Astyanax mexicanus: one gene and its partners. The protein of the gene in region 2 interacts with the protein of the main gene of each other region in a pairwise test. Links are inferred from orthologs where the notes say so. Each region holds a gene or a part of one and is shown on either strand. Other genes may lie near its edges. The genes, in order: ptpn11a, trim32, rabac1 and ube2v1.

Region 1 (6,908 bases), on a different chromosome or scaffold from region 2:
ATAAGTATGTTGTGCCAACCTATTTTTTTTTGGTGAACACAACTTTTTTTTCAGCACTGAAATTTTTTAAAAATTACACAATGTTGTGTCAACATTTTTTAAGACGGCGATAACAGACACCTTTTGACGAAGTTGTAACAACATTATAAAAAAGCAACATTGTGACAACATTGTCTGAGGCAATAGAAACAGTATTAAGACACGTGGACAATGTCATACAAATGTTGTGTCAAACTATTGTTATGGCAAAGTAGACAAGGTTTTAACAACATTGCATGTTAAACAGTATCATCTTCCCACACACACCACTGTAAGAAAGTAGGCTTTGTTGTGTCAACACAACATTTTCTCAACACTGAAATGCTTAAATGCAATTCCTCTGAAAGTTGTAACAACATTATCTACAACATTCAAGAATTGGCAACATTATGGCAACATTTTTGATGTTACAATGTAAACAACACCTCTCTTGGACTACAGTAATGTAGCAACATTGCAAGACAGTACACAACGTTGTGACGATGTTGGTTGAGACAACATAAACACCACCAGCTGCTCACAACATTGTAGCAAACTTGTAAAAAAGTAGACAATGTTGTGAGAATATTGTCTGAGACAATGTAAACAACACCAACTTCCCACACCACCACCAAAGTTGTAGGAAAGTAGAAAACATTGCTACAACATTTTTAACACCACCTTTAGACAACATTGCCACACTGTTTTTGAGACCACAAACATTGAAGCAAAGTTGGAAAGTTGCATAAAAAGACGTGCACAAAACATTGTCACAACAACGATATGCAGCTAATTTCTTTTCAGAACGTTCCGACAACATTAGCCGTCTCTCTAACAGCAATCTAGTACTCTTTATAACAACGTTGTGACAAACTTTCTGACAACCAACACATCAGCACCACCTTTTGACAATGTTGTAAGAAAGTTTTAAAAAGGCCTGAACCTGAAGCTTCTGAAACAACGTTTACAACGTTGCCTCAACCATTCAACACAACAGCAAAAAAGTGTGCAACGTTGTGTCAATCTTTTGTTTTGGTGCACACAATGTTGTCACAACATTTATATGCACCTAACTACTTGTCAGTAGGTTAACGTCAGTTATCTTCCTAACTTTCAATGACAACACAAACAGCACCACCTTTTTTTTAAACGTCGTAAGAACGTTGGTAGTTTTATAAAGGCCTGAAAACTTTAACGTTAGTCAACAAAATGAAGCCTTTTCAGTTCAGAGTCTGAAACATCGCATCAAACGAGTAGAAAAGTACTTAACGTTGTCTCGACCTTTCAACACAACTGCAAGAAAGTGTGCAACGTCGTGCCAACCTAACGCTAGTGTTTTGATGCCTAAAACGTTGTCACAACATTGAAATGCAGCTAGCCAACTTCTCAGCTAACTCATTTCTTCTCAGAACGTTTTGACAACGTTAGCTAGCGATATATCGCAATTATAGGAGGCAGTGAGCAAGTTTTAACAACGTTTTGAAAATGTTTAAAGCTTTAAAAAGTCGTAGAAACGTGATAGCGTTCAGTCGTTAGCCAGTTAGCTAGTTAGCTTGTTAGCTGTGTAGTTAGCACTAGCTGTGACGTGTCCCTGAGCACAGAAGCTGTGGTAAAAACGACAAAAACGCGGTGTTTCATTGCTTTATTGGCTGCTTTCTGTGTTTAAATGTTTGTTTAGATTGTGTATGAAATATAATGTTTAATTTTTGAACATTAGCTTAGTTAGCCTTTTTCGCTTAGCTACAATTAGCTGTTTAGCTTTAGCGCACTGCACTGCTAACTAAATAGTTGTAGAAAGTAGGGATCCAGTCCGGTGCCTAATCCAGGTCCGAAAAATGAGAATCCGCTCCGGGATTTGGCGGCTCGCCTGCAGCTCAATTGTTTCCTCAAATTAACAAACTATTGCCTTAATTTAAATAATTGACCAATTAGTTTAACGAATTAATCTCATAGTTTAATAAATTAGTCCATTAGTCCTCACTCTATTGAAAAAATAATAATATTAAATAATCATTATTTCTTTTTTAAAGCTATTTTTTCTCTCATCTAACAAGTTGTTTCATCAGTTTTATAAATAATTTCCTCTATTTAACAAATCATTCTTTCAAAACGTAAATTGTTTTTTTCAAATAATAAATGAATCCATCAGGCAAATACATTTTTTTCTCGTCTTGATAAATTGTTCCGTAATTTTAAGAAATAATCACCTACGTTTAAGAAATAATCCCTGAATTTAATAAACAACTTAATTTAATAAATGGTTAAATAATTTCTTCAATTTAATAAGCTCTTAACAATATGTTTCCCAAGTTTAATGAACCGTTACCATAATTGAATAAATAATTCCCATAATTTAATAAATCACTCATCATTCTCATCATTTATTAAATCATACCAACAATTTATTAAAGAATTCCCATAATTTAATAACTCATTCTCATAATTCAATAAATCAGTCTCTTTGCTGCAGCAGAGCAGCCTAAGCAGCTGAACCGAAATCCCGGAGCGGGTTCTCACTTTCCAGACCTGGATCAGCTAAAACTAAGTAATCGAGCACACAAACCAAGTTTGAAGCGGTTTCCCAGCTTCCTCTCCGCACCAATTGAAACTTTTCCATTTTTGGACTTTGGTTCTGATCCAAACACGTCCTCAGAACCCTTGTCCGAACTCCCAGCTCTCTCCCCGGTTCAGAAACATCTGACACTAGTTTGTTTTTCCTCTCCTCAGCCTCACCTCCGGGATGTCATCTTCCCCAGCCTCGGTTCCGCCGCTCCGCTCCGCTTCCAGTCACTTCACTCTCCGGGCCGACCGCGCCGTGTAGAACCGGGCCCGCTCAGGACGGGTTCGGCACCGTGTTCATCTGCTGGAACCGGATCAGAGGAGCGGCTACAGAGCTCGCTAGGCCTCGGCATCGGAGACCTTTCCAGTCGAGTTGGAGAACGTCACCGAACATGCGACACGGCGGCTCGGCTGGACTGCCCGCGCTCAGCGGCGGCGGCCTCTAGCGGTGCAAACACACGGCGGGGCTCCGTCCCAAATCACAGACCGCACACTCCTCCCCTACTGACTACATAGTGATAGTGATTAGCACGCAATTTGGGATAATGCAGGCAGCACACTTAATTACAGCATGCAAAATATGAAGGTATTTATTTGTATTGCATCTATATTTTAAATACAAATAAGACTCATAAGACATACACGAATTGTAAAATAAAAAACATTAAGATATAACACTGAGATAGATTAGAAATAATACTAATAATAACGAGGTAGAAAAACATATATCTAAAGAATTTAAACTAATGAATGTATGATTGATTTATTAAATTAAGGGAACATTTAATTAAACGAAGAAAACAGCTTGTTAACTTCAATTAAGGGAATTATGTATTAAATAATGGGAATAACTGGTTAAATTGAGAAAATGTTCATTAAACCTAGGAAACATATTATTAAGGGTATATTAAATTGAAGAAATTATTTATGTATTAAATTAAGACAATACTTTATTATATTGAGGGATTATTTCTGAGGGAATTATTTATAAACTGATGGATAATTCCTTAAATTCACAGAACAAAGTTTTAAGATGAGAGAAAAATTAATTTGTCTGCAGGATTAAGTTATTAAACTGAAGGAACAATTTAATAAAATTGGGGAACACTTAATTAAACTGAAGGAATGACTTACGTTTTAAAATGAGATAATTGTTTATTATACAGTATAAAGAAAAATATTTATTAAACTAATGAAACAACTTATTAGCTGAGAGAAAAAATATATGATTAGTAATTATAGGAATAATTCATTAACCTAAGTCAACAATTTATTAAATCGTTGGAGGAAACAATTTATTGAGTGTTTATTAAATGTTTATTATTACATTAAAATCATTTTATTATTTTTTTTATTAAAAGTTAAGATTCATTTAGTTTTTCTCTGAATGTGCTGTTGTAGTTTATATCAGATATCGGTATTAATTAGGTTTGTATTACCGACCGACGAACTGTGTTATTTTAGCTTCGCGTTTCTACGCCGCTCTGTTTGTCCCTCCCCGCTCTCGGTCAGAAGGCTGTACGTGGCAGTCCGGCTGCAGCTCTGTGCTGATCCAGCCCGGCTAAACCAGTTCCCCAGTCCTAGTTCCCCCTGTTCCCGGTTCCCGGTCCCCGCTGGAGGATGTCCCCGGGCCCGGAGCTCGCGCTGCTGCTGCTGCTGGCCGCGCTCGCCGCCTCGGCATCCGGGTACTTTGTTAGTGTGGACGCGCACGCGGAGGAGTGTTTCTATGAGCGCGTGAACTCCGGTACCAAGATGGGCCTGATGTTCGAGGTGGCGGAGGGAGGATTCCTGGATATAGACGTGGAGGTGAGAGAGGGGGGCAGGTAAAGGTGAAACAGGTGGAGGTAAAGGGAGGGAGGTGGAGGAGGTGTTGGAGTCAAAGGTAAGGTAGGTCTTGTTTAGGCAGGTGGAGGTGTAGGAGTTAAAGGTGAGGGCAGGTGGAGGTGTAGGACTTAATGGTAAAGGAGGTTTTTTTTGGCAGGTAGAGGTGGGAGAGGGTGGAGGAGTTAAAGGTGAGGGCAGGTGGAGGTGTAGGAGTTAAAGGTGAGGGTAGGTGGAGGTGTAGGAGTTAAAGGTGAGGGCAGGTGGAGGTGTAGGAGTTAAAGGTGAAGGAGGTCTTGTTTGGCAGGTAGAGGTGGGAGAGGGTGGAGGAGTTAAAGATGAGGGCAGGTGGAGGTGTAGGACTTAATGGTAAAGGAGGTATTTTTTGGCAGGTAGAGGTGGGAGAGGGTGGAGGAGTTAAAGGTGAGGGCAGGTGGAGGTGTAGGAGTCAAAGGTGAGGGAGGTCTTGTTTAGGTATGGTGTAGGTGTAAGCGAGAGACGGTTGTAGGTAAGAAAGAGTGGAGGTAAGAACAGGTAGGGGTGAAAGAAGTGGAGCTAAGTGAGGTGAGAGAAATTGAAAGATGACCGAGGGAGGGTGGATGTGCAGAAGTTGAAGGTGGAGATGAGGAAGAGAGAAGGTGAATCTGAGGTGATGGAGGGTGGAGGTGAGGAAAGGTGGAGGGCAAGTGCAGGTGTAAGAGGTAGAGTAAAGGTGTGCTGTAAAATGTGTACTATAATTTTAGATGTTTGTATTATATCTACATTTTATATCATAAAAGAAAAATTAACCCCTAAAACTTGTGCATGTTTACCTCTCTAAATAATTAATCTAAAATCATCTCCAGATAACTGGACCTGATGGAAAGCAGATATATAAAGGAGACCGTGAGTCCAGTGGGAAGTACTCTGTGGCGGCTCATATGGACGGAACCTACAAGTTCTGCTTCAGTAACAAGATGTCCACCATGACCCCCAAAATCGTCATGTTCACCATCGACATCGGAGAAGCTCCCAAAGGTCAAGACATGGAGACGGAAGGTGGGTTCGTTTTTAGAGAGGGTTCAGTGAGGCTGGGTTAGATATTACCATATTTTTCGGAGTATAGGGACCACCAGATTGTAAGGCGCATTAAGAGACACTAGTAAGGATGCTTACATTGAAGTGAGCAAGTAAACAAAACTATGATTCTTAAAAAAACAAAAAATATATATATATTTAGTTTTAAAGTCAAACATGTTTCTCTTCCGAAAGCTGTTTATTTGGGTGAGTAAATTTATTTACAGTAAGCTAAGAATTCCAATATTTTGTTTAAGGGTGAGTTTTCAGTAAAGTTTCTCCAGCACTAAGGCTGGGTGCAGCAGCATTAGCATTAGCCGCTAACCATATTAAACCATTGGACAGTTAAAAATGTTTTCATTGTTCTTAAAAACTGAAACGTGCAACCACACTGTTTGTTTACAGGTTTCACTGTGTTATTACTTTAGTTATTTTATTTATTTTACGTTATTATTATTATTTTTTTACATTTTTATTTTCAACTCTTAAAAAGTGCTTTAGAAACAAAGCATATGTTATTACTGTCATGATTAAAGAAATATATTTTTTTATGTATTTTATGTAATTTAGTAAATTAAGGTTATTTTCTGTGCCGTAACTCTCACTTCTTCCCTTCTCAGGCGGTGGTGACAGCTGGGATGGTAGGCGTAGGCAGCATAATGAAGCTTATTTTAACGTATACTGTAACGATTAGCTTAACGCTAACTGTTGCCAGGGGTTGGTGTGTGTCTGTTAATTGAAATCAGGGCTGCCTGTGCATCGTGTGAGAACAGCACGGACTAACGGCAGTGTGGTGGTTAAAGAAATTTAAAGGGTTTTAAATATTAAATGTGATCAGTGTAGAAGTGTGGGTAGCAGGTAGAAAAATGACCCAAATCTGATTTTCTCACCAAATCTGATGATTATTTATCTTTTTAATGTGATTTATATCCAACTTTATATTCAAGAGGAAGATGGATGATCACAAGCCATCAAACCACCAAACTGAACTGCTTGAATTTTTACACCAGGAGTAAAGCAGCATAAAGTTATCCAAAAGCAGTGTGTAAGACTGGTGGAAGAGAACATGATGCCAAGATGCATGAAAAAAAAACTGTGATTAAAAACCAGGATTATTCCACCAAATATTGATTATTTCTGAACTCTTAAAACTTTGAGGTCTGAAAGATCTGCATCTTTTTTGTTATTTCAGTCATTTCTCATTTTCTGTAAATAAATGCTCTAAATGAGAATATTTTTATTTGGAATTTGGGAGAAATGTTGTCTGTAGTTTATAGAATAAAACAACAATGTTCATTTTACTCAAACATAAACCTATAAATAGCAAAATCAGAGAAACTGATTCAGAAACTGAAAAGTTTGATGATTTAAGTCACATTATCACAAATTGGACAAATGTTGGTCGAATTTTAATACCACATATTAAAGTGGCCCAATTTGGAATTGAGAAAATC
Region 2 (7,097 bases):
TCCTCATGGTGAGGTAGTCGCATCGGGACACCACTTGCACCTCTGCAATGTTCAGAAGGTATGTCTGCTCTTCCAGAATCTGAGCGTTGAGTTTCTCCACCTCAGCCATGGAGGCGGCGAAGGCACGGCGCGAGCGGCCCAGCTCCTCCTGAAGCCGGAGCTCCGCCCTGGAATACTCCTGCTGCACGGCCTTGTACTTGAGACGTAGAGACTTGGACACATTATCTATGGCTGCCTTCTTCTTCTGAATGTTGGCCATGGCCTCTCGCAGGTTGGTCAGCTTCACCCCAAGGTCCTTCCTGCGCTGCTCAGCGGCCGTGCGGATGGTCTGCACGCTGTGACCCTGATGCTGATGTCCTTCGCACTTGCAAGCGTCGCACAGCACCACGCCGCACTCGCAGCAATACTGCCGCGGCAGGCGATTCTTGCAGGACTTGCACATGAGGCCGGCTGCAGAGCTGCAGGTGCTGGCGCAGTCTATGATCTTTAGCACCGTGAGGTTGTCAGCAAGCTGGGAGATGCTACTCATGCGGGAAACCTTGCTGCAAAACGGGCAGCGCACCCCGTTTATGGTGCTGGCCAGGAGCTTCTCGAGGCACTGCCGGCACACCGAGTGTCCACACTGCAGGAGCTTGGGTCGGAGCTGGTCCTGATTGTACGTCTCCAGGCAGATGGGGCACTCCAGCACCTCCCGCACCAGGTCTGGGTCCAGGCATGTCGGAGTGGCCATGATGCATCTCACTAACGGAGGTGTTCACAGAGAGGAGAGACAAGAAGAAGAGAACCAAGTGAGTCATTTAGAGTACAGTGCAGTACAGCAGAGAATTATGTAATATGATGATGTGATGAGTGAGCAAGTATAGCAGGCGTTACGCTAATTACGGTTAGCTCATGCGGGCGAAGCAAGGCAGGGCATTGTATTCCTTGGTCCAACCACTTAGCCCTAACCCTTTGTTTTGCGCTTGCACACCTAGGGGTAGGGTGTCTCGATTTTTGGTAGGTTATAAGGGTAGGTTAGGTTAGGGGAAGTTTTAAGGCTACATGATCCTTTAAGTTGAACATTTTCCTATATATCTTTACGGTCTCACCTTATCCCCTTCAGACCTTGCGCCCAATGCATTACAATTACAACATTAAACAAGCAAATCAAAAATTTACATTAACTTAGCCCCGCCCACTGCAGCAGAAAAAAAAACCCCAGCAACTCAAGATATAAGTGCATGTCAGCACAACAGCCAACAAAGCAAAGTAAGAGTTAAATTTTACTATTTTTTACGTGATTTAGAAACACTTTTATGATGTTCATGTTACTGTGTATGGATGATTTGTGTACAAAGTACAAAGGTCAATATCAAATCTAACATTAAAAATGTAAAACACATTTTAAGGCATCCAATGCAATGGACATTAAAAAAGAGCAATCAAATATATTTTAGTTAATGGGACAATTAGGGTCGTCTTTTGTGTGATTGAACAAAAGACGACAGAAAACAGCATTCTTATAGTTTTCACTGGAACTTAATTCAGGTCTGAAAGAGTTAAAGGTTGCAACACAGGCAGAGGCTGCAGTATTTAAGGTGGAATGGAACGGAAAAATAAAATAAAAGCGAATAAAAGCTAAATTTAGCTCCCAATCAGAGAGGAATTAAGGAATAGATAATAATAATTAATTCTAAGACATACACTAAAGCCCTAAATGCTAATTCTAATTCTTAGGGGGAGGATTTTATCCCTTTTAGTTGGAACTCTGCTTCAAGGAAAAGGGTTACAAAAGAAAAATGGGATTGAACCGTAGGGCGTTTTCACAACAGCACTCTTTGGTCGGGTTAAAACAGACTCTGATTGTTTTTTACTCGAACGAACGGATCCCAAACTCTGGAGCGATTTGTTTGTGGTGAGAACGTGATCAGGCCTTGATTTGACCCAGTTGTCAAATATACTCTTTTATTTTTTTATATAAAATGCTGATAATAGTATACTGCTATGAACGAATGCTATTCGCAATTCTGTTTACTATGTGAACATCTGCACGGCACGTCACATTTAAAACAATGCGTTTTAAAACGTAGCGTTTCAACATTAAGTGCACAGAATATTTTCACTATATTTACTTTGAAGGTGGTTATCTCCAATCACACCCAGGGAAACCAAAGTGAAACCAAACCAAACAGAGGGAGAAACCCTTCAAATAAAACTGATTCTGATCATAGAAACCATAAAAACTACAGGTGCGAAAACACCCTTAGTCTTGTTTTGCAGTATTTATTAATTTATGAGACCCAACATGCACGTGAGACAGGTGTTCCCCTGAGCTATTGGCAGGCACTGTAGTATTGCTAGTATTGTTATTCTTCCTTTAGACATAGAAAACACAGCATTTTTTATTTTTTGTCAAATTTAAAGCTTTTTAAGACTGTGAAAAGATCAGGAATACTTGTTTTGACGTCTCCAAATCTATACCTAGTGTATTCCCTATTGACTTTGTTGATTTTGCATGCAATAACATCACCACATTAGCTTCCTTAGCCAGCTAGCCAGCTCTATATTAACTAGCTAGCTAACTAGCTCTATCTTTATCTTTTGCTTTATATAATATAATCACGAGCCAACATTTGCAATATTCCGCAGCATGCATTGCAGATATTGCACATACTGCAGCAATATCAGCACCAAACAAACAAACAGGATGCATTAGACGTCCAGCATTGCACAGATGTTGCTGTGCACCTGGCAGCCATGCTAAAGGCTCGAGCTAAGGCCCAGTGCAGAGGCAGAGGGCTGCACCCTGTGTCTATGTGTGCGCGCGTGGCAGCGGTGTATATGCAGTGCAGTGCAGTGCAGTGGTGTATATGGTATATGCTGGTATATGCTGTGAGTGGGTGAGCGCGCTGTCCGCGTGCGGTACCGCTTACCTCAATGTCAGCCTGACTGCGGGTCTCTCCACCGCCGCTCGCTGCGTGCGTGCCTGCGCGAGCGACACTGCGGAGCGCTGACGTCGTCAGTGGCGGCCGTCCCCCACTGCGATCTGATTGGTGGAGAGACAGACAGCCTTCCTCAGCTCTGATTGGCTGAGAGAAATGTCTGTCACTTATGTCAACAAAAAATAAGACATATTTGTATAAATATGATGTCAAATTTAATTTAAACATTTTTATTATTGATCTTAAACATTACTACTACTACTACTACTACTACTAATAATAATAATAATAATAATAATAATACTAATAATACTAATAATACTAATAATAATTATTATTATGATTTATTTTTTTCATTTTTATTATTATTATTATTATTATTATTATTATTATTATTATTATTATTAATACTACTACTACTACTACTACTACTAATAATAATAATAATGTATATCTTAATGTTTTGTTATTTAACAATAAAATATTTTATTGATTTATTGTAAAAAAAAAAAAGATATGTATAAAGGTTTTTATTTAAACATTTTTATTATTGATCCTATACTGTACCACTACTAGTCACAAAATAATCTTAAACTCCTAGTATAATCACCTTCAGACAGCCTGTCGCTGTTATAGTTTGTTTATTTTTTATTTTATTTTTAGTTTTAGTTTGTTTTTAGTTAACTTTTTGAATTTTGTGTCGTTTAACCTCTTGTCTTTATTGTTTCTTTGATTTATTTTACTTATTTTACACACATATATATATATATATATATATATATATATATATATATATATATATATATATATATATATATATATATATATATATATATATTATTATTATTATTATTGTTATTATTTTATTATTATTATTCATCTGTAACTGCAGTCTTATAATTTTTTATCACCTGTAATTTTACCTATGATTTTATTATTCTTACTAAATTCTTAATTTTATTATTATTTGTAGAATAGTGGTGTTTATTATCTTATAGTAATGCCATTTACTGTAGAGTAATTGTACTTTACACTACATTATTTTTTTAAATCTTAAATATTTATCTATTATTTATATTAATCTTATTTAAATCCAAAATTTAAGTTTGATGAGAACAAAGCCCAGTTTCCCCATATCCTCCTCTGATCAGTTCTCCTGCTGGTGTTCTGTTTTTAATGCAGTTCCAGCTCAGACCACCAGATGGAAGCAAAAGTCCACTCATGGTGTATCAGAATAGAGCAGATAGTGAACTGGAGAAGTGAACACAGGTGCACAGCAGTGTAGGTATATGCACAAACATTTAATATGATTTAATTTAGACGCCATAAACAGGATGTAGTGGGCGGAGCTTGTGTTGTGTACAGTACACTGAAAAAAATGAGTAAAATTGACTTTAAAAAAGTTTTGCAACTTTCTGCATTTGCTTTTTTTTAAGTAAATTTAATTTCAGATAAATTTAAGTAACTTCAACTCGGTTTCAAGACTTAAATGTTACACAGAGTAAATAAGTGAACTGAACTTCAGTCAATCCTTTCTGTTAGTAAACTTTACTTCATTTATTTTTACTGAATCAATCCTTTCTTTTAGTAAACTTTACTTCATTTATTTTTACTGAATCAATCCTTTCTTTTAGTAAACTTTACTCCATTTATTTTTACTGAATCAATCCTTTCTTTTAGTAAACTTTACTCCATTTATTTTTACTGAATCAATCCTTTCTTTTAGTAAACTTTACTTCATTTATTTATACTGAATCAATCCTTTCTTTTAGTAAACTTTACTCCATTTATTTTTACTGAATCAATCCTTTCTTTTAGTAAACTTTACTCCATTTATTTTTACTGAATCAATCCTTTCTTTTAGTAAACTTTACTTCATTTATTTTTACTGAATCAATCCTTTCTTTTAGTAAACTTTACTTCATTTATTTTTACTGAATCAATCCTTTCTTTTAGTAAACTTTACTTCATTTATTTTTACTGAATCAATCCTTTCTTTAAGTAAACTTTACTTCATTTATTTTTACTGAATCAATCCTTTCTTTTAGTAAACTTTACTTCATTTATTTTTACTGAATCAATCCTTTCTTTTAGTAAACTTTACTTCATTTATTTTTACTGAATCAATCCTTTCTATTAGTAAACTTTACTTCATTTATTTTTACTGAATCAATCCTTTCTTTTAGTTGCAGAAAGTTGCAAAACTTAAAGTAAAGTAAATTTTATGCTTAATTGTTTCAGAGTAAAGTTAAAAGTAAGTGCTATTAGTGAATATAAAGTAACTATTGTAGTAGAGAAGTGGGCGGAGCTTCTGGACACGGTGGAAGTAGGGGTTTCCACAACCGTTTTGTACATTGAGGGGACGTTTGCAGTTGTTTTCTCACATTTTCATTCCTCGTTTCCATGGATGATTTAATAAAATTGGTTCTTCTATGGTCATCCATCACTGAAAGAACTCTTCGTAGCTCCTTTACTATAATTATTTCTAAAGGTTCAGAGATTGCCACGTCCTGATTTTAGCCTCCAGACCCACCGCAGACCCGGCCGAGCCGGAGCGAATAGGATGATGGATGGACGGATGGATGATTCTGGACTTTGCTCGGTTCACAAGTCAAACTCTGACCGGATCAGTCCTGAAACTCCCGTCTCAGGAGCTTCTGTTTATTATTATTCTGAACATTTTTCCCTAAATAAGAACCTTTCCCAAAGAACAGAATGCACGTGTGGTCAGCCTGACGTATGCGATTAGTAAATGCCGCAGGCCTCGATCAATCAAACGCCCTCACGGTGATGACAGCTCCATTGTGAGTCTGGGTGCATTCGGGGGGAATGTTCCTTAGGCTGACCGGCCCGAGTTCTGGAGCTGGAGCTGGGAGATTTGCCCCACACTGAAAAAAATAAATCTGAGCGTTAGTAAATGTAACGTAATTAAATCTGTGTTATTAACAACAAAGAAATATGTTTCTATATTTACATGAATATATCTAGTTTTTAATTACTCCACATTTGTTCAAAATACCAGATATTGTGTATTTTTTCTTTAATATAATTTATTTATGTAATCCCAACAAATCTTTTTAGGTACACAACAAATCTGCACAACAAACACAAGTCTTGTTATATTTACTCGGGTTTTAGTCACTACCTGTGTCAATGCTCTTTCTACAGTGTTGGTTCATGCAGCTTTCCTATAGGCTCCTGTAACCATATATTTGCATATTGGGTGTGGCCTCTCTCTCTTACTCACCATCTTTGTGTTGTCTGTTGCCCAAAGCTACCTTATCCTGGGCGTGCAGTAATTATAATGTGGCAAGAGGAGTAAATAAATAAATGTTTATTAAATAAATAGTGCACGACTACGCCACCTAGAGGGAATTTCCCTCTTAGGAAATACAAGAACACACAGGCCCAAGACACTTGGAGAACAGAGACGTAGTTTCCAAATTAAAACAAGTTTTATTAACAATTATCAAGAAAAGATTATACACACCCAGAATCACAAAAGAAATATATATATATATTACAACTGAGGGCTTACCAGGACAGCAGGACAAAAAAAAAAAAAAAAATCACCTACACACACACATACCACTGCACACGAGCACACACCCACAATTACGAAAAAAAAAAAAAGAAAATCCCAACCGAGGCAGAAAAGAACTAGCACACCAAACACAAAATATTAAGAAATTAAGGTAAGGCTTCCAACTGACCAAAGTAATCCTCCAAAGAGAATAACCCCATAAAATAAACCCACACTCAAAAAAAGTATACAAAACAAAATAGAAACCCAATTAGAGAAAAGAGCTCCAAAGAAAAGAAAACCCAAATTAACTCAAATTCCAACACAAAAAAGTTAGACACAGAAAAAAAAGATCAATTAGATTAATCAAAAATATAGAAGACAAAATACCAAATTAGACACAAAACAACCCCAAAAGGCAAAATTAAGAAACTAAAAGACAAAAACTGAATATCACAAAAAATGAAAATCAATACGAAAACACAAACTTAATTAGCCAAAATAAATCAAAACAAAAAAAACAACAAAAAAAAACTAAATCAAAGCAAAACAAATAAGCCAAAGCAAAAACGAATTAATTAATTTAAATAATTAATTAATTAATTAATCAAAATTAATCCAAACAGAAAACTACAATAATATACATTGGCAGG
Region 3 (7,702 bases), on a different chromosome or scaffold from region 2:
CAAAGTTCTTGGGCTTGGAGAACTTGCGCTGATCCACGAAGCCGGCCCAGGGGCGGATGGACTTTCTCCGGCGGTCCAGCCATTCCTTCATCATGCTACCGGACATGCCTTTGGGCAGCAGCCTGACATTGTAGGAAGACAGAGCGACGTGCATCATCTGTTAGGTACGCTTTTACAATATGCAAAAACAACAACCACCACCATTAGAAAAGAACCAGTATTTCAGGTTACCACACAACACTGGGTTTATATGATCAGTATCTCTTCCTGAGACCTGGCAACCCATTTTTCTCTTCTGTAGAAGATAAAGGTCAGAGACCAATAAGTCCCTGAACTGCACTATTAACACAAGCTGTTTAAATCCCCTGTGCTGTCCAATCAGGCTTTAAATGTGGGGTGTGGCCTACAGAGCATAGGGACTTTATTTTCAAAATGCTGGTAATCACAGGTTTAAATGGGGCAAATTCTGGCAAATATTTAGATTTTGTTGCTACAGTGAGTTTTTGTAACTGCTTCCATTACTTTCGCTTTTTACCTAAATATATTAATCTGTTGATTTATTTTTTAGATTAGTAAATTTTTAATTGGATAAAAACAAAAATGAATAATATATATATACACACACACACACATACACACGTAAAGAAAACCTCTACTGTCACCAGTAGAGGGTGCAGAAAAGCATGTTTGGCTGCTGGTTCATATAAAAAACATAAGTCTAGGGCATCCCTAACTGCTTAAGAAATACATCCCTACAAAAACATTTAAACTCTGATTTTTCTCACCTGCTCATTATTCCTGCTGCGGGCAGCTCCTCTGAATCGCTGCTGAAGGGGTCACTCAATTTCGAATCCATTTCTAAAATCAAACACACCAAGAAAAAGAAACAAATATACTTATCTTACCGTAAAATGCCTACACAGACTTTACACAATTAGACATGATGCAAATGTATTCTTATATAACTGGACCTGCTACAGTCTCATAGAGAGATGAAAGACAATACCTCATAATGTAGAACATCTTGGCCACCAACCTCTATTTCTCAATAACCTTAAATAAAAAGCTAGAAAGGGTGTGTCAATGGAAACCTCTCACCCCATATTCAGCTTTCAGGGTTTGTGAAAGAATGCAAAGAATCTTGTTTGACCGGTCTGAGAGATCATAAATACGTCATTAGGTTCCTAAAAATGACCAACAAGCTTTTAATGCGGCTTTAAAGTGCAAATATATGGATACATATTGTATTTTAATTACGAATATTAATATAACAAATGTTATATATCACATATACCTTTAACAGTTTTATTCTCCGTTATATGAGGACTATCTTTTTTTGGTAAACATCTGTAGCCTTGTTAGTAGGCAACTTTTATCCACACAATTCACACTCAAAGTGGAAAGCGCAGTGACTCGGTTCTGATACATCAGATCACAGAAGACGCCTTGTGCTGATTGACATCACTCTTTGGAGTGATGTGGGGAGAGAGCGCCATCTACCCGCCCAGAAAGAGCAAGGCCAATTGTGCTCTCTCAGGACTCCAGCAGCTGATGGCAAGCTACATTAACGAGATTCGAACCAGCAATCTCCCGATCATAGTGGCAGCACCTTAGCCCGCTGGAAAGTACACAACTAAGAGAACAAGAGAAAGTCCTAATTTAGTTGACAGCTTTAATATTACATGCTCTTGGCTGTGTCTCTAGAATTAGTGGGTACTTAAATATTTCCATTTTGGGTCACTTTTAACTTCTATCCACTACGATTTTAAATTTACATTTTACTCCACTACATTATGCAAAAATAATTTCTTGATGTTACATTGTGCAAAAAAATGAAATAAAAATAATTAAATTAAAATAAAGGAAGCACAAAGGAAGCTGACCATTCAAGGAACAATACACAGCTTTTGTTTTAAGCTTATTTTAACCTGTTGAACGTACACTACGTTATTGCTGGGTTATACATAAATATAGATACATTTAAATTTAATTATATTCTTTAATTACATATGCCACAAAGAAATTAATAAAAAATCACTGTACTGAATAAAAAGTATTTGAATAGCAGAATCACAGATTTTTTCACAGCTTTTTCTGTTTTGTCTGCTTGTCAAAATATTGTGTATTTCTACTTTAACTCTAGTAGCATATATACAAAATATAAAATTACACAGGTAAAATAAGATTTTTTTTATTTTATTTTTTGTTTTTTTTTATTATTTGCTAGCTGCTTTTATATGCCTAATTTTAAAACAGGAGGAAAAGGCAAGATAATTAAAAATATTTGCAAAATAAATGTGCCGTTCCACCTCAAATGTAGACGCCTGAATGTAACGTTAACTCCTGCCCCATTTAAGATGGACAAGTCGAACTACTAACTGGTTAGCTCGTGTCTAGAGGTGGGTAACCCAGGTCCAGAAAGTGAAAACCCAACCCATGGTTTTGCACCGACGGCCTGTGCGGCTCTGCAGTTGGTGGAAAACCCTGGGTTGGATCTTTACTTTCTGGACCTGGCTTACCCACGTCTACGTGTGCTAATGGAAAATCTTTGTCACTTCATGCCCAGCCCTTTAGAACCGTATAAGAAAGGCAAAAATACAATTTTACAATTTTTTAAGACTATTTTAAGTCACTAATTTACCAAATTAACTAAAATTAAACTTTTTTTTTTTTACTGTTTTTTTTTTTTAGATTAGTTTTGCGTTAAACCACCGAGGCTAAGCTAATAACTAACTTGCTTAACGTTACTAGCTCTACACCCTGTAATATTACACAATAAAAGCTGGGCATGTAATAGATAACTATACACGCAAGTAGTTTATAAGAATATATAACTTACACATTAAAATGGTTTTAAATCGTACAGAATGCAGAGAAAATCGCTTCTTACTGTAATGTTGGTCCTGTTTATATTGTGCTCTGCTGGCAGATGATGTGGAGCTGCTGCTTCTTCTACTATAACAGTGAGTATAGTATACTGAACACTGCCATCTGCGGTAAGTACCTGTGTATAAGTAGTGTTGCCTACTATACTTTACGAAAATATACATTAAATATACTTTCTCTGTATTTCCATCAAATGTATTTTAAGCAATACGCTTTATATTATACTTTGTCTTGATAGAAAATATACAGTTCTGTAAAACATTGAGAGACCACTTTTTTATGCATGTTGGCATGTTCTCCTCCACCAGTCTTACACACTGTTTTTGGATAAATTTATGCAACTCCTGGTGCACAAATTCAAGCAGTTCAGCTTAGTTTGAAGGTTTGATAGTTTCATGATCATCCATCTTCTTCTTGGTTATATTTTAGAGTTTTTCAATTTGGTAAAAGCAAAGTGTGTAGTTTTTTTCCCCACTAGCATTAAGGTGTACACAATATGTATATACATTAAAAAAGCAAACTATTACATTTACAAAATTTTTCAAGTGTATTAAAAATTATGTTAAGATTTTTAGTCTGAAACCCATTCTTAAAATTTAATAAAATTTAAAAATTTGGCCAAATACATGCAGGGCTTTGTATAAGACATAGCCCTCAAAGATGGTATTCATTCAGGCCCGTCCACACATATTTAGATATTTTTAAAAACAGTAAAGTCTGCAAATTTTTATTGATTACTGCAGCTCAGCTTTACTATTAGAACAGTCTAGTGTTTTGTAATTATTATAAAAAATAACTAAAACACACTGAAAGAGAAAATGTTTGTCCAAACGTTTGACTAGTACTGTATACATACTGTACATCATCAATTATTATCAGCGAAAAATTAAATACAATAAAAATATTGAAAAATAACACATGTAAAGGTGCAGAGCGCTCTGTGATTGGTCGCGGTGTGTGGGACGTCACGGTGCGTGTGCTGTGCGCGCTGTGATTGGCTGTTCGGTGTTGTTATTCTGTATGCCCCGTTGTAGCTAAGCTAGTGAAGGGATGTTTTGAGAAAGCTGACCGTGGGCGTCCTCTTGCTTTGACCTAAGTAAGTGTGGTAAAATAAGGTTTATATCATTTCTGTACCGAATAAAGAGGGGTGAACTTTAATATTAGTGTATATTTAGTGTTGATAATCGGTATTTTTGTGTGGTCCGTCGACGGCTGCGCTGGTTAGGGTTGTTTTTCTGTTGCTAAGCTAAGGCAGGCAGAAGTGTCAGGCGAAGTGTAGCTGGCTAGCGTAACTAGCTTAGTCCACAGGGGCCTTATTGATATCCCTTAACCTCGGTAAACCTTCTATTTAGAGAACTGTCGTCGGTTTTGTTGATAATTTCCATTAATAAACATGCAATAATAACTCAAAGGAATCTAAAATAACCGACTTTGTCTAAACAGTTCGATTATAAAGCCTGACAGGCCGGAAATTCCCGATGTAAAACCGAAAAACGGAATGTTCTCGAATGAGGAGTGTTGCTGGAAACTGTAAAAATATGAGAATTATCGCTTAAAAATACTAGCTAGTTTAACTAAATTCATGGAACTGCTCCTAATAGTCAAGTTAGTGTGTAATATATCGTTAGCATTAGCCAAATACTACAGTAACGTTACATAGCTAGGCTAGCTGGGTAATTAATTAACTTACCTAACCTAGCCAGTTAGTAGGGCTGGGAGATTATTTGAATTAATATGAATAATCGAATTATCTTAACTAAGTTACTATTTTATACATACTTACACATATGAGCTATCGTTACCAGAGATAATCTCAGTAGATAGACAGTTGCTTCTGTCAGAAAAAAAACTATTTTACTGTACACTTTTCCTTAACTGAAATACAAGGACTATGCTTGCACCGTGTATATAAAAGCTAAATAAAAAAAGCTAATGTTAAAGGAAGGTTGAAGGGGGTTGTTTACTATTTCCTAAAATAAAAAATAAACGAAATGTAAAGGAAACAATAGCTTACTTATCACATTAAGTGAAAACTGATGTTAAAATCTAAATAATAACTGAAAATCGATTATATATTTGGAAAATATCAAAATTAGTATTTTTTAAATGTCACCCTGTCCTACTAGCTAGCATGGAACTGATGGTAAGTTACCTGTTCCTTGCTAGTTATTTTATTGTATAGTTAGTTAGTTAGTTCGTTACTAGGTTAGCTAGCTAAGCTAGGTTATATCATATAAGAACTTCAAACCCTCATTTAAAATATTAATCGAATTATTTACAATAGAATTTTAAGATTAATCTTTATAAATCACACAGCCTCATAATGGGTATTCACATGTGAATAAAGTAATCAATGTTAGAAACACTCAGATTTGTATTATTGGTGCCAACCCCTAAAATAATTGTATTAATCACAACAATATTGTGTGACTAAATCGTGGATAAAATCATGATTTTTTTTTTAATGCTGGTACTTAACTGTATTTTTGGGAAGGGGCAAAAATAATGGTGTATGGTGATAAACACCTGGCAAACTGTGTCCATTTTTGTTACTGTATAATAATATCTCAGTGTAGAATAGACTATTGTAATATGCTGAGTTACTTAGTGTAAATGTGATTTTGAATGGAGAAAATTAACACTAGTGTAGCTCCATATTCCACACTCAACAGCTTGAGTGAAAATATGCAGTCCGCTGTGTGTGTTTGTGTGCATGACAACGCGAGTGTGAGACAGAAAGAAAAAGGTGAATACATTTTATATAAATAAAATAAATAAAAGTTAATTTGTCTTTTGACTTCAAAAATAAGCGTTGCTGTGGCTCTGTCAATTTTTATTGTTGTATTGTTGTATTACTAATAAAATTAAGAAGTGTTATATACGCTTTAAGCTTAACATACATATGAGTTTGTACCGTAATCAAAGTGAATACAGCACTGCTGACACAGCAGGTCGCGCGGATAGCTTTGTAGCCCGACTTGCATGAACTCGTCCGCTTTTATTTCGCTCCAAAACGCTGAAACGCGAGGTAATTTTGAGTTAAGTGTTGTGTTTAGAAGCAACTTTAGCTACAGCTGTTACAAGTGACAGCTGAAACGTGACATTACGCAATTTGTACACGTGCACTAGAACCGTGATGTAACCCGGTGTTCTGTCATTTTGTGCCACCTTGTCAAAACATGCTACCCTAGTGTATTTAAAGGTAAACATTACGAAAAATACATCATTCTCGCGTTTAAAGTCTTGGCAAATATATGTGATTAGAATCTGTTTTATAGTTATTGTTTATTATATTTTTATTGTAAAAAAAATATCTAACTTAAGCAAAAAAATCCCAAGAAAAACATCATTATCAGGAAAACACGTGAAAATAGAAAAAAAGAGAATTAACGCATGCGCAGAACCTTTAAGTAGCACGTTTTGATGGGTATCGCGACTCGACAGAACACCGGCAGTGCGGAAGACTGGGCATGTTTGGTCCATGAGTCGTATTTTGACGTGTCATCTGCTTAAGAGAAGTTTCCTCTTGCAGTCATACAGCATGATATTTTACATTTTCAGTTCTACCTTAAGTGGTGGAGTTTGTGTTTGGTGTGTGTATGTGTTTATTATGTTTTTATTTACATGCTGTTCTTCGTATTATGATTATTATTAATATTATTATTATTATTGCACCCTTTTTGTAACCCTACTCCTCCCACAGCTTTTGACATAGAAACACAAAATTTTGCAGAATCGTAGGACCTATACACGATTATGTTGCATATTGTTATTATTTTTAATATTAATATTATTAATGTTATTTATTATTATTATTATTATTATTATTATTATTATTATTATTATTATTATTATTATTAACATGTTTCTCTGTTGCAGAAACTTGCAGACACTTGTTGGTAACCAGCTAATCATGGCAACAGTCCGCTGCCCGAGATACTCCCTGCACTGGGAGGAGACAGACTGCCTGAGCTATTATGACATGTTGTCTCTTCATGAAGTCTTCGAGATTGTGGGTTCCCAGTTAACAGAATCCGACGTTGAAGTGCTATCATTTCTTCTCGACGAAGCTTACCCAGGCAGGCACCCTCTTGATCCAGAGGGATGGACAGAGGAAGTCTCTCCGGACTCCGATGTGCCCTCAAACTCTCCTTGCCCGCGTCTTTTGGAGGCTTGGCGCAGAATATGCCCGCGAGGGGACTTCTGCCTTGCCTTCGGCCGTCACAGACCCAAAAGTGGCACGGAACTGTTGCTGGAAATGGAGAGACGTGGATTTTTGCATGAAGGAAACCTGGAACCTCTTCTGCAGCTCCTTCGGATTCTTACACGACATGATCTCTTGCCGTTCGTTTCAAGCAAAAAAAGAAGAACAGGTGAGGAGTAGACCAAATAAATGCTTTCCACACCCATTATCATCCCAGTCATTTATGTGAGCGAGTTTGCATTTGTTGGATTATGCAGAGTTCTTTAGTCCTTCTCCTTGTGCCCCATTTCCTGCAAATTTCCCTGGCTTTTTCCTCTCCCAACACACCTTATTCAAGTAATCAACTCATTATAACAAACTCTTTCAGAGTTGCAGTGGGTATGTTAAAGCAGGCAGTCCTCTAAAATGTTTGCCGGGCAGATGGGTGCCAGGACCAGGATTAAAGAACACTCAGAAACACCTATGTAGTGTATATATGTGTATATAAAAAAGTAGTGCCAAGGCCTGTATTATAATAATAATAATAATGCACTAATAATCCTAAAATGATTTTGCATCTTTCTCTTGTCTGCGTTCTTTTTCTTAGTGTCACCTGAGAGGGAACCTATAAAC
Region 4 (7,613 bases), on a different chromosome or scaffold from region 2:
TCTAATGTCAAAGGGGCCTTATGTCTCTCCTCGCCTACGTCGTGCACCAGTCTGACTATAAGGGGAAATCTATAATCTTATTTTCTTATTTTTCTTCTTTTTTTTTTAAGCAATCTAGATAGTGAGACCCAAATATGTCATACATTTAATGAGACTGTGCGTTTAATGTGTCGACACCTTTAAAGCGTTTAATCCGCTATAAAATGCATTATTTATTTATTTATTTTAATAGATTTACAGCAGGTTGACTCTGTTTAAACACTGTTGCAGGACGTGTATATTCATTTTAAGCTTTTATTTTTATTACATTGCATCTTAATTAGGCCTGTCACAATAATTACGTTTGGTACAATATCAAAACATAATTTATATAAACAAGGACAGCCCATTATTGTGAATAGAGAGAGAGGTTATATATATTCAATACAAATCTGCATTGTAGATTAATATTACTGTCATCCAAACTATGAAGAAAAACATATAGAATTATTAATAAACAAAACAAATAAGTGTTTTGTTGTAAAGCAGTAGAGTTGGTTCAGCGCTCCTAAAAAAGGCTGTAATTGCAAGATTATGCTGTTTTATTATCATTATATGATGACATGATAAAATGACAGATCTTGACAAATCCTAAAATGACAATAATACTGTTTTTCTCAATTATTTGTGAGTATATTAATACACCGTCCATATAAAGCTATTGTGACAGGCCTATTCAGAATAGTCTGCCTCATCATTAAAACGTCATTTCCCTGTGCTAATATCAATTAAGTGACAACATTTGCATTGTGGGTCATGTTAATACACAAAAACTAAAGAAATACAAGAATGCTCGTTCAAAACTCTAAATATACAGATGATTAAAGAGATCATTGACGATTATTTCAGATGCTGCCCTTTGTGGTATAATTACTATCATTGTGTTCATATGTTCATAATTTTTATAAATATTTGTATTATTGTGACTGCTGACTCACCCACACTGTTCAACAATTAAACTACTGATTTCTTCTCTCTCTGTATGCGTGCATGTCTGTGTGTGTGTGTCTGTGTGTGTGTGTGTGTGTGTGTGTGTGTGTGTGTGTGTGTGTGTGTGTGTGTGCGCGTGTGCGTGTGCGCGTGCGTGTGCTAAAGAAAGCCATATACACTCATACCTGCTGTTCATTTCTGTAATATAAAGTTGTTTTTAATATTCTGAATTTTGAACATCAGTAATCAGTCGGTTCAATATCTGTGAACGAAATTTTGTGAGCAATCAAAATGGTTTAATTACAGATGTTTTTTGTTTCTTTCTTTGTTTTGGTTGTGGTGAGCAGAAAGAAGGGGCGGGGTCTTTTTATATGCAAAAAAAATCTACAAAAAAAATGTAAAAGGGGAATCAAAGAATGGTGAAAGGGTTTGTAATGTATCCATTAAAAAGATCTAGTTTTAGGACTGCATGTTAATAACGACACTGTACTAACAACTAACGTACAGCTACTCTGTAAATACTGTTATTATTATTATTACCGGTATTATTATAATTATAATTATTATTTTCATCCTGTAATCTCAACTGATGAAAGTGATGCAGTGTGAAAAATTGGGTGAGATTGTATTTTTTTTTTCATTATTGTCTTTTGCATTTGTATCTTTAATTTTGGTTCAAACTCTCAAACTAAAATTCTACTGGGGCTTTGTTTTTCTGTTTTAAGTGCACATTCATTGCTTTGATTGATTTGTAGTGAAGGAAAACCAAACCACCAATTCTCTTCATTTTATTATGTCATTTAAGTAAAAGTTAATATAGTTTGTATATTTATATTTAATTTTTCTTGTTTTGTTTTTTTCCAGAATACTTCAGCATTAATCTGTCATGCTTTTCTCGTAAACGTAATAGACACATTAACTTAAGAAGATTTACAGCAATAATAATATCAGACTCTATAAACGATATAGACTGTAGACTATAGATAGAAGCCCGTAAGGAACTGTAGCTACGCTTTGACCTGATATTTCTGGAGCAATTTTTTTTTTTCAGTGCCATATTTTGACTAATGTACTTGATTTGTTTGTGGTTCTCAGGTATTAATATCTGAATTGTGTATGTTGGCCTTTTTATAATTCACTTTGCTTTTAGAGAAAGGAACATTGGTTATAATAATATTATTTTATTACTGCATTATACTATAATTTAGCTTGTTTACAACCAGAGACAGGACCGTGTAACATTTCAGTTAAATTTTCTGACCGAGTCTAAATTTGAAGACAGTAAACTGGGGTTTCAATCATCCAATTTTATTTTTATTTCTTAAAAATTGCCTGATGGAGGAAAACCTATTTTTATACAAAATATACAGTCAGAAAATTTAACTGAACTTGTTATAAGATGCAAAAAAATCTAAATAATTTCAGAAATTGCAAGAAGATTTGTTTTCTCATTTTTCCTAGAAAATTGGAAGACTAAACTGATGAACATTAAACTGACCAAAAATGTTTAACATAGAAAGAACATTTTTTTCCTTTTTTTTTTTCTAAAAGGCTAATGTGCTAACATGCAACATCAGAACAGCATGAACTGTTAGCTTTTATCTAGTGACACATTTGCATCCAGTTATTCTTTAAATTCTGAGATTTTATTTGGTCTCCAGGTCTTTCTCTACTGTAAAATCCTTGTATAATAAAAAACATTGAGTTTCTCAAAGCCTATGCAGAAACTAGCCGGCTCACTCCAAACCGCCGGCCGTCACTCCTCCCGCCATGCCGGAATCATTTTGTAACATTAAGCTGTGGTGAAGACAATTTAAGGGAAAGAACACAAAATCAATATTGTAATTTAATTGAATTAGTTTTTGTTTGTTTTAATTTTGTTTTGGGGTTGTTGTGTTTTTTTTTTTTTTTGCTTGTAATCTAGTTTGTTCAGGATGGGTCTTCTTCCATTGTATGTTGTCATTTTCAGTGGATGTGCAATAAATTATAATTCAAGGCTGTTTTGTAATACAGCTCTGTGTGGGTGTCTTCTAATTTTCTACAATAAGTGGAGATATGAATCATAAGACTGCAATTGTTAACTATTAAAAAATTAACTGAACTATAGGAGATATAGAGTGTTAGAGCAGCAGAACATGCTAACCCAAGCATAAAATATTAATATTAGTGTGTATTTTTCCTGTGGGGGATTATTTTAATTTATTAATGTGGATGTGTTTCGGCTGACCGTGTGTTTCCGGTTCCTGTTGTACCGCTGGAGCCCAGCAGGGGGCAGAAACTCATCATATAATGATCATCGATAATGAAGCTGCAGTCCTGCTGGAATATACTGCACACATACATACATTTACTTTAATTATTTATTAATTTCAACAGTCACGGGGACTGTTGTTTACAATAATTGTTTATAATTGTTTACAATTAACCTTCACTGAAGGTGAACTTTATTTACCGTGCAGCTAATCAAGCCAATACATCAAATATGGACTAAAAATTAGAGACATTAGACATTGTCCTGCTGCAGAACCCAAGTTCGTTTCAGCTTGAGGTCTTGAACAGATGGACGAACACTCTCCTTCAAGAATTTTTGGTTGACAGCAGACTACATGGTTTTATTTACCACAGCAATTCGTCCAGGTCCTGAAGCAGCAAAACAGACACAGACCATTACACTACACCCACCAACACGTTTTACTGTATAATATGGTGTTACACCAGATGTAATGGGAAACACACCTTCAAAAACGATGTCTAACTTTTGAGAATCTTTTGGTCTACTGGGTATGGCAAGAGAAATTGAACTCAGGTGTGATAAACCACAGTTATGTTTCAACTGGGGGACAAACACTTTTCCACACAGGGTAATGTAGGTTTGGATTTCTTTTCTCCCTTAATAATGAAAACCTTCATTCATAAACTGCATTTTTAACTAATATTTGAATTTGTTTAATAATCTGAAACATTTAAGAGTGACAAACATGCAAAAAAAAAAAAACATTTTTAAACCACTGTAAATATATTTATTGCAGTATATTGATATATAGTATTGAAGTGGGTAAAATTGGTTTCTTGCTAAGCAAAACATTTATTTATATAAATGTGAATTACTGGCATTAACAACTACAATAATAATAATAAAATAATAATTATGATTATTATTCAAATAAACAATTAAATGATAATTAAATAAAATTAAGTAAATGCTAACAGTGTCCCAGAGTGATCAATTTACTGCATTATGCTCGTAATTATTATTTATGTGCTGTTTGCAAAAACAGTGTCAGTCCTGGTGGGAGGAAGAGATGAGGTAAGGTTTTGTTTTGGGTTGGCGATTCAATATTATTATTATTATTATTATTATTATTATTATTATTAATAATACAAATATTATTATTTTCATTGTATTTGTAACTTGTAATGTTATCATTACTGCCTTTTTGTTCATGCTCTATTAAATACCTCATTGTGGCCTGTTATTGGTGGTTTTGATAAACAATTATTTATTATTAATTATTATTTTTATTTAATTATTATTATTATTATTATTATTATTATTATTATTATTATTATTATTATTATTATTATTATTATTATTATTATTATATTGCAGTGAGTGTAGGCAGTAGGGGGAGAGGCAGGGCGCGGCGGATATTGGGACAGACCCAGAGTGAATCAGGACTGAGGGAGGCGCGCTATACGCGTGAACGCGCCCTCATCCGCCGCGTGCCCGAGAAGAATACGGAGCGTGCGCGCTCCCGCTGCTCAGCGACAAGATGGCGGCGGCCGCCGGATCAGGTAAACCGACTCAGAAGCTAAACGTAGGTTTAATCCGGGCGGACTCGCAGAATCAAACCCGAACCGGAGCCGCACCGGAGCTGCGCGCGGAGCGAACCCGCCGGTCTGGCGACGCGGGTTCCTGCGGGGAGGCTCAGCGCGCGGGTCCGTGGGCGCGAGGCGGCGGGGCTGAGATCGGGATTTTACCGCTGCCGCCGCGCGCAAGGCTTAACCTGTTCCGTTGGGCCGCTTTCACGCGCTGTTCGCTGTAAACTCGGTGTTTTAGGGGGAGCGGGGTGAGGGGGAGGTTGGGGGGAGTGGGGCGTGGACCGGCTCGCGAGCTCGCGTGGCTGCAGCGCGATGACGCGGAAAGAACTGGAAGCTTCTCGGAAACAGCAGCACACCTGCGCGCGCGCGCTCCAGCCCGCCCTGATCAATATATTAGAAAGAGCTGATTAAACTCCAGAGATTTATCATCATTATCAGGATTTATCCGTTTATTATTGATTAGGATCAGGGAGCAGGAGGGTGGGCCGGTTTGTGAGATGGCAAGAGTTGTATGACTGGAGCTGATGAATATATTGATTGATTGATTGATTGATTGACCGATTGAATGATTGATTGATTGATGGATGCACAGGGAAAGCAAATACATACACTAGTTAGTTGATCTGTAGAAATTCAGATTGATGCACTGTGAACGGCTGATGGAGGTCCCGTTGCTTGCAAAAGTATTAATTCCCCTTGAACTTTTTCACGTTGTGTTATCTTCTAAACACAAACTATAATGTAATTTATTGAGATATTAAGTGATAGACCAACACAAAGTAGTGGAACGAAAATTTAGAAAACCTTTTCAAGGCCGCAAAAGACTTGAAACCTTCTATCAAGACAATGACCCTAAACATACAGCCAGAGCTACAGTGGAATGGTTTAGATCAAAGAATATTCATGTGTTAGAACAGTCCAGTCAAAGTCCTGACCTAAATCCCATTGAGCTTCTGTGGCAAGACATGAAAATACAGACGCTCTCTATCCAACCTGGCTGAGATTAAGCTATTTTGCAAAAAAGAATTACAAAAATCTCAGTCTCTTGGTGCACAAAGCTAGTAGAGACGTACCCAGAAGACTGCTGCTGTAATTGCTGTAGAATGTGGCTCAGTATTGATATAGGGAGGCTAAATACTTCTACTCTTTGCACTTTTCCGATTTTTATTTGATTGCATGATTTTGAAAATTGTGTATAATTTGCTCATTTATGTTGGTCTATCAATTAAAAAAACATAAATTGATTATATTGACTAATTGTTGCAGCCCTAGTTTAAATACTTTTGATTGCAAAATAGACTATTTGATGAGAGATATCAATAAAGGCACTATTATTTGGGTGCAATGACATTGGCATGGTGGTGGTGATGGTGGTGGTGTATGAGGTGTTGGTGTGTGTTGTATATATTGTAGCAGATTGGTAGGAGTGTCTGACAGAGTTGAGGACAGTGAGTGAACACAGTTTAAAAACTCCAACAGCATTGCTGTATCTGATCCACTGGTACCAGCACAGCATGCACTCATGCACTAATCTCATGTATGTGGAGGTGTTATTGGTATTGAAAGGTATTGTGAGTTTCTGCAGACTAATTTGGCAGTCAGTCTGCAGTGCATGCAGATGAGCTAGTCTGAGCTGCACTGCAGGACTAAACCAAACCTCCAGGATGTTTTCGTGACCCCCCTCTAATCTTGATTCTCAGCAGTGGTGCTTAAATTCACTGCAGCAGGAATCTAAACAAATCCAAACCACAGGACTATTTTTTTGCCACACTACCCCCTTCATACCTGTACTGTTTTAGTGATATGCATTTTGTGAACATTGTAGTGTGGGATGTGTTTTCATCGCTATTGTTTGCTGTAACAATTTTCTATGTGAGTGAGGTTTAGACATATGCTTTCATTTACCATCTAAGTTGGTGATCGTCCTTATTAGGCTTGTCTCTATGTACCTTTGTTTAAGCTTTTGGGACAATTGGGATGAGTTTCAGTGCACAGCACTGAAACATTTTTAGGGACTACTTTTTTATAGCATATGTATTCCTCCACCATTTTAATGATATGTTATTTTAAAAACACATTTTTGGATTCAGAATCTTCTCAAACTTGGGTGAAACAGTGTCAAGTATACTGTGTATTCATAATTATTAATGTAATAACTTTTTGCTTTTTTATCATTTTAGGCGTCAAAGTTCCTCGTAACTTCCGGCTGCTGGAAGAGCTGGAAGAAGGCCAGAAGGGCGTTGGTGATGGAACAGTGAGTTGGGGTCTGGAGGACGATGAGGACATGACACTCACACGCTGGAGAGGCATGATCATTGGACCTCCCAGGGTGAGTGTTACTGCAGAATAATCAGACATCTGTGCGACCAGCTAAAGTACTTCCAACATTCTGAACTGAATTATATTTGGTTATGTTGGGGTCAGCTTGTTTTTCTCCTTTACATTTTACTAATGCACTGCACTTAAATAATACTTTTAAAGCAAAGATTGTGTTGCCGTCTCTTGTCACAGTGAATAAATCTGGTGATTTTAACAAGGAATCAATTGCCCGTTCTGTTTGCCTACCAGCTCTCATTTTATTTCGATTTCTGCCTTTCCTTTGTTTAGCAATGTGTTAATGAGCAGATTATTATTAAGTTTGCTATTCGAATATCCCCATGTACACTGATCTGGTATCAGCAGCCTGCTACCATCATAACGTGGGTTTTAACTTTTAACACAGCCTCTGCAGTTAGTAACTCTGATAATCACCAATAACTGTTGTTGAGAGACCTTTAGAATGAATATATGTGGTTTTGCAGGAAAGGTAGCAAAAGCACACT

The links.
Region 1: the proteins of trim32 (region 2) and ptpn11a interact in binary tests that used the Homo sapiens proteins (3 or more experiments, as listed by UniProt). The link is inferred for Astyanax mexicanus from reciprocal best matches to the Homo sapiens genes TRIM32 and PTPN11.
Region 3: the proteins of trim32 (region 2) and rabac1 interact in binary tests that used the Homo sapiens proteins (3 or more experiments, as listed by UniProt). The two-hybrid records come from large-scale screens. The link is inferred for Astyanax mexicanus from reciprocal best matches to the Homo sapiens genes TRIM32 and RABAC1.
Region 4: the proteins of trim32 (region 2) and ube2v1 interact in binary tests that used the Homo sapiens proteins (3 or more experiments, as listed by UniProt). The link is inferred for Astyanax mexicanus from reciprocal best matches to the Homo sapiens genes TRIM32 and UBE2V1.

Annotation. Positions count from the first base shown.
Region 1 is NC_064427.1:890,313-897,220, reverse strand, and holds the start of ptpn11a (tyrosine-protein phosphatase non-receptor type 11), read right to left. Parts: upstream 3,018-6,908; 5' UTR 2,766-3,017; coding exon 2,752-2,765; intron 1-2,751. Other genes in the region: tmed2 (transmembrane emp24 domain-containing protein 2), read left to right, coding at 4,198-4,383, 5,244-5,436, 6,075-6,095. UniProt on the Homo sapiens protein: Acts downstream of various receptor and cytoplasmic protein tyrosine kinases to participate in the signal transduction from the cell surface to the nucleus. Positively regulates MAPK signal transduction pathway. Dephosphorylates GAB1, ARHGAP35 and EGFR.
Region 2 is NC_064408.1:6,800,142-6,807,238, forward strand, and holds the start of trim32 (E3 ubiquitin-protein ligase TRIM32), read right to left. Parts: upstream 3,015-7,097; 5' UTR 2,913-3,014; intron 742-2,912; 5' UTR 731-741; coding exon 1-730. UniProt on the Homo sapiens protein: E3 ubiquitin ligase that plays a role in various biological processes including neural stem cell differentiation, innate immunity, inflammatory resonse and autophagy.
Region 3 is NC_064413.1:5,389,715-5,397,416, forward strand, and holds the start of rabac1 (prenylated Rab acceptor protein 1), read right to left. Parts: upstream 3,005-7,702; 5' UTR 2,891-3,004; intron 859-2,890; 5' UTR 857-858; coding exon 786-856; intron 123-785; coding exon 1-122. Other genes in the region: dedd1 (death effector domain-containing 1), read left to right, coding at 6,800-7,259, 7,677-7,702. UniProt on the Homo sapiens protein: General Rab protein regulator required for vesicle formation from the Golgi complex. May control vesicle docking and fusion by mediating the action of Rab GTPases to the SNARE complexes.
Region 4 is NC_064431.1:14,978,303-14,985,915, reverse strand, and holds the start of ube2v1 (ubiquitin-conjugating enzyme E2 variant 1), read left to right. Parts: upstream 1-4,610; 5' UTR 4,611-4,742; coding exon 4,743-4,764; intron 4,765-6,971; coding exon 6,972-7,120; intron 7,121-7,613. UniProt on the Homo sapiens protein: Has no ubiquitin ligase activity on its own. The UBE2V1-UBE2N heterodimer catalyzes the synthesis of non-canonical poly-ubiquitin chains that are linked through Lys-63.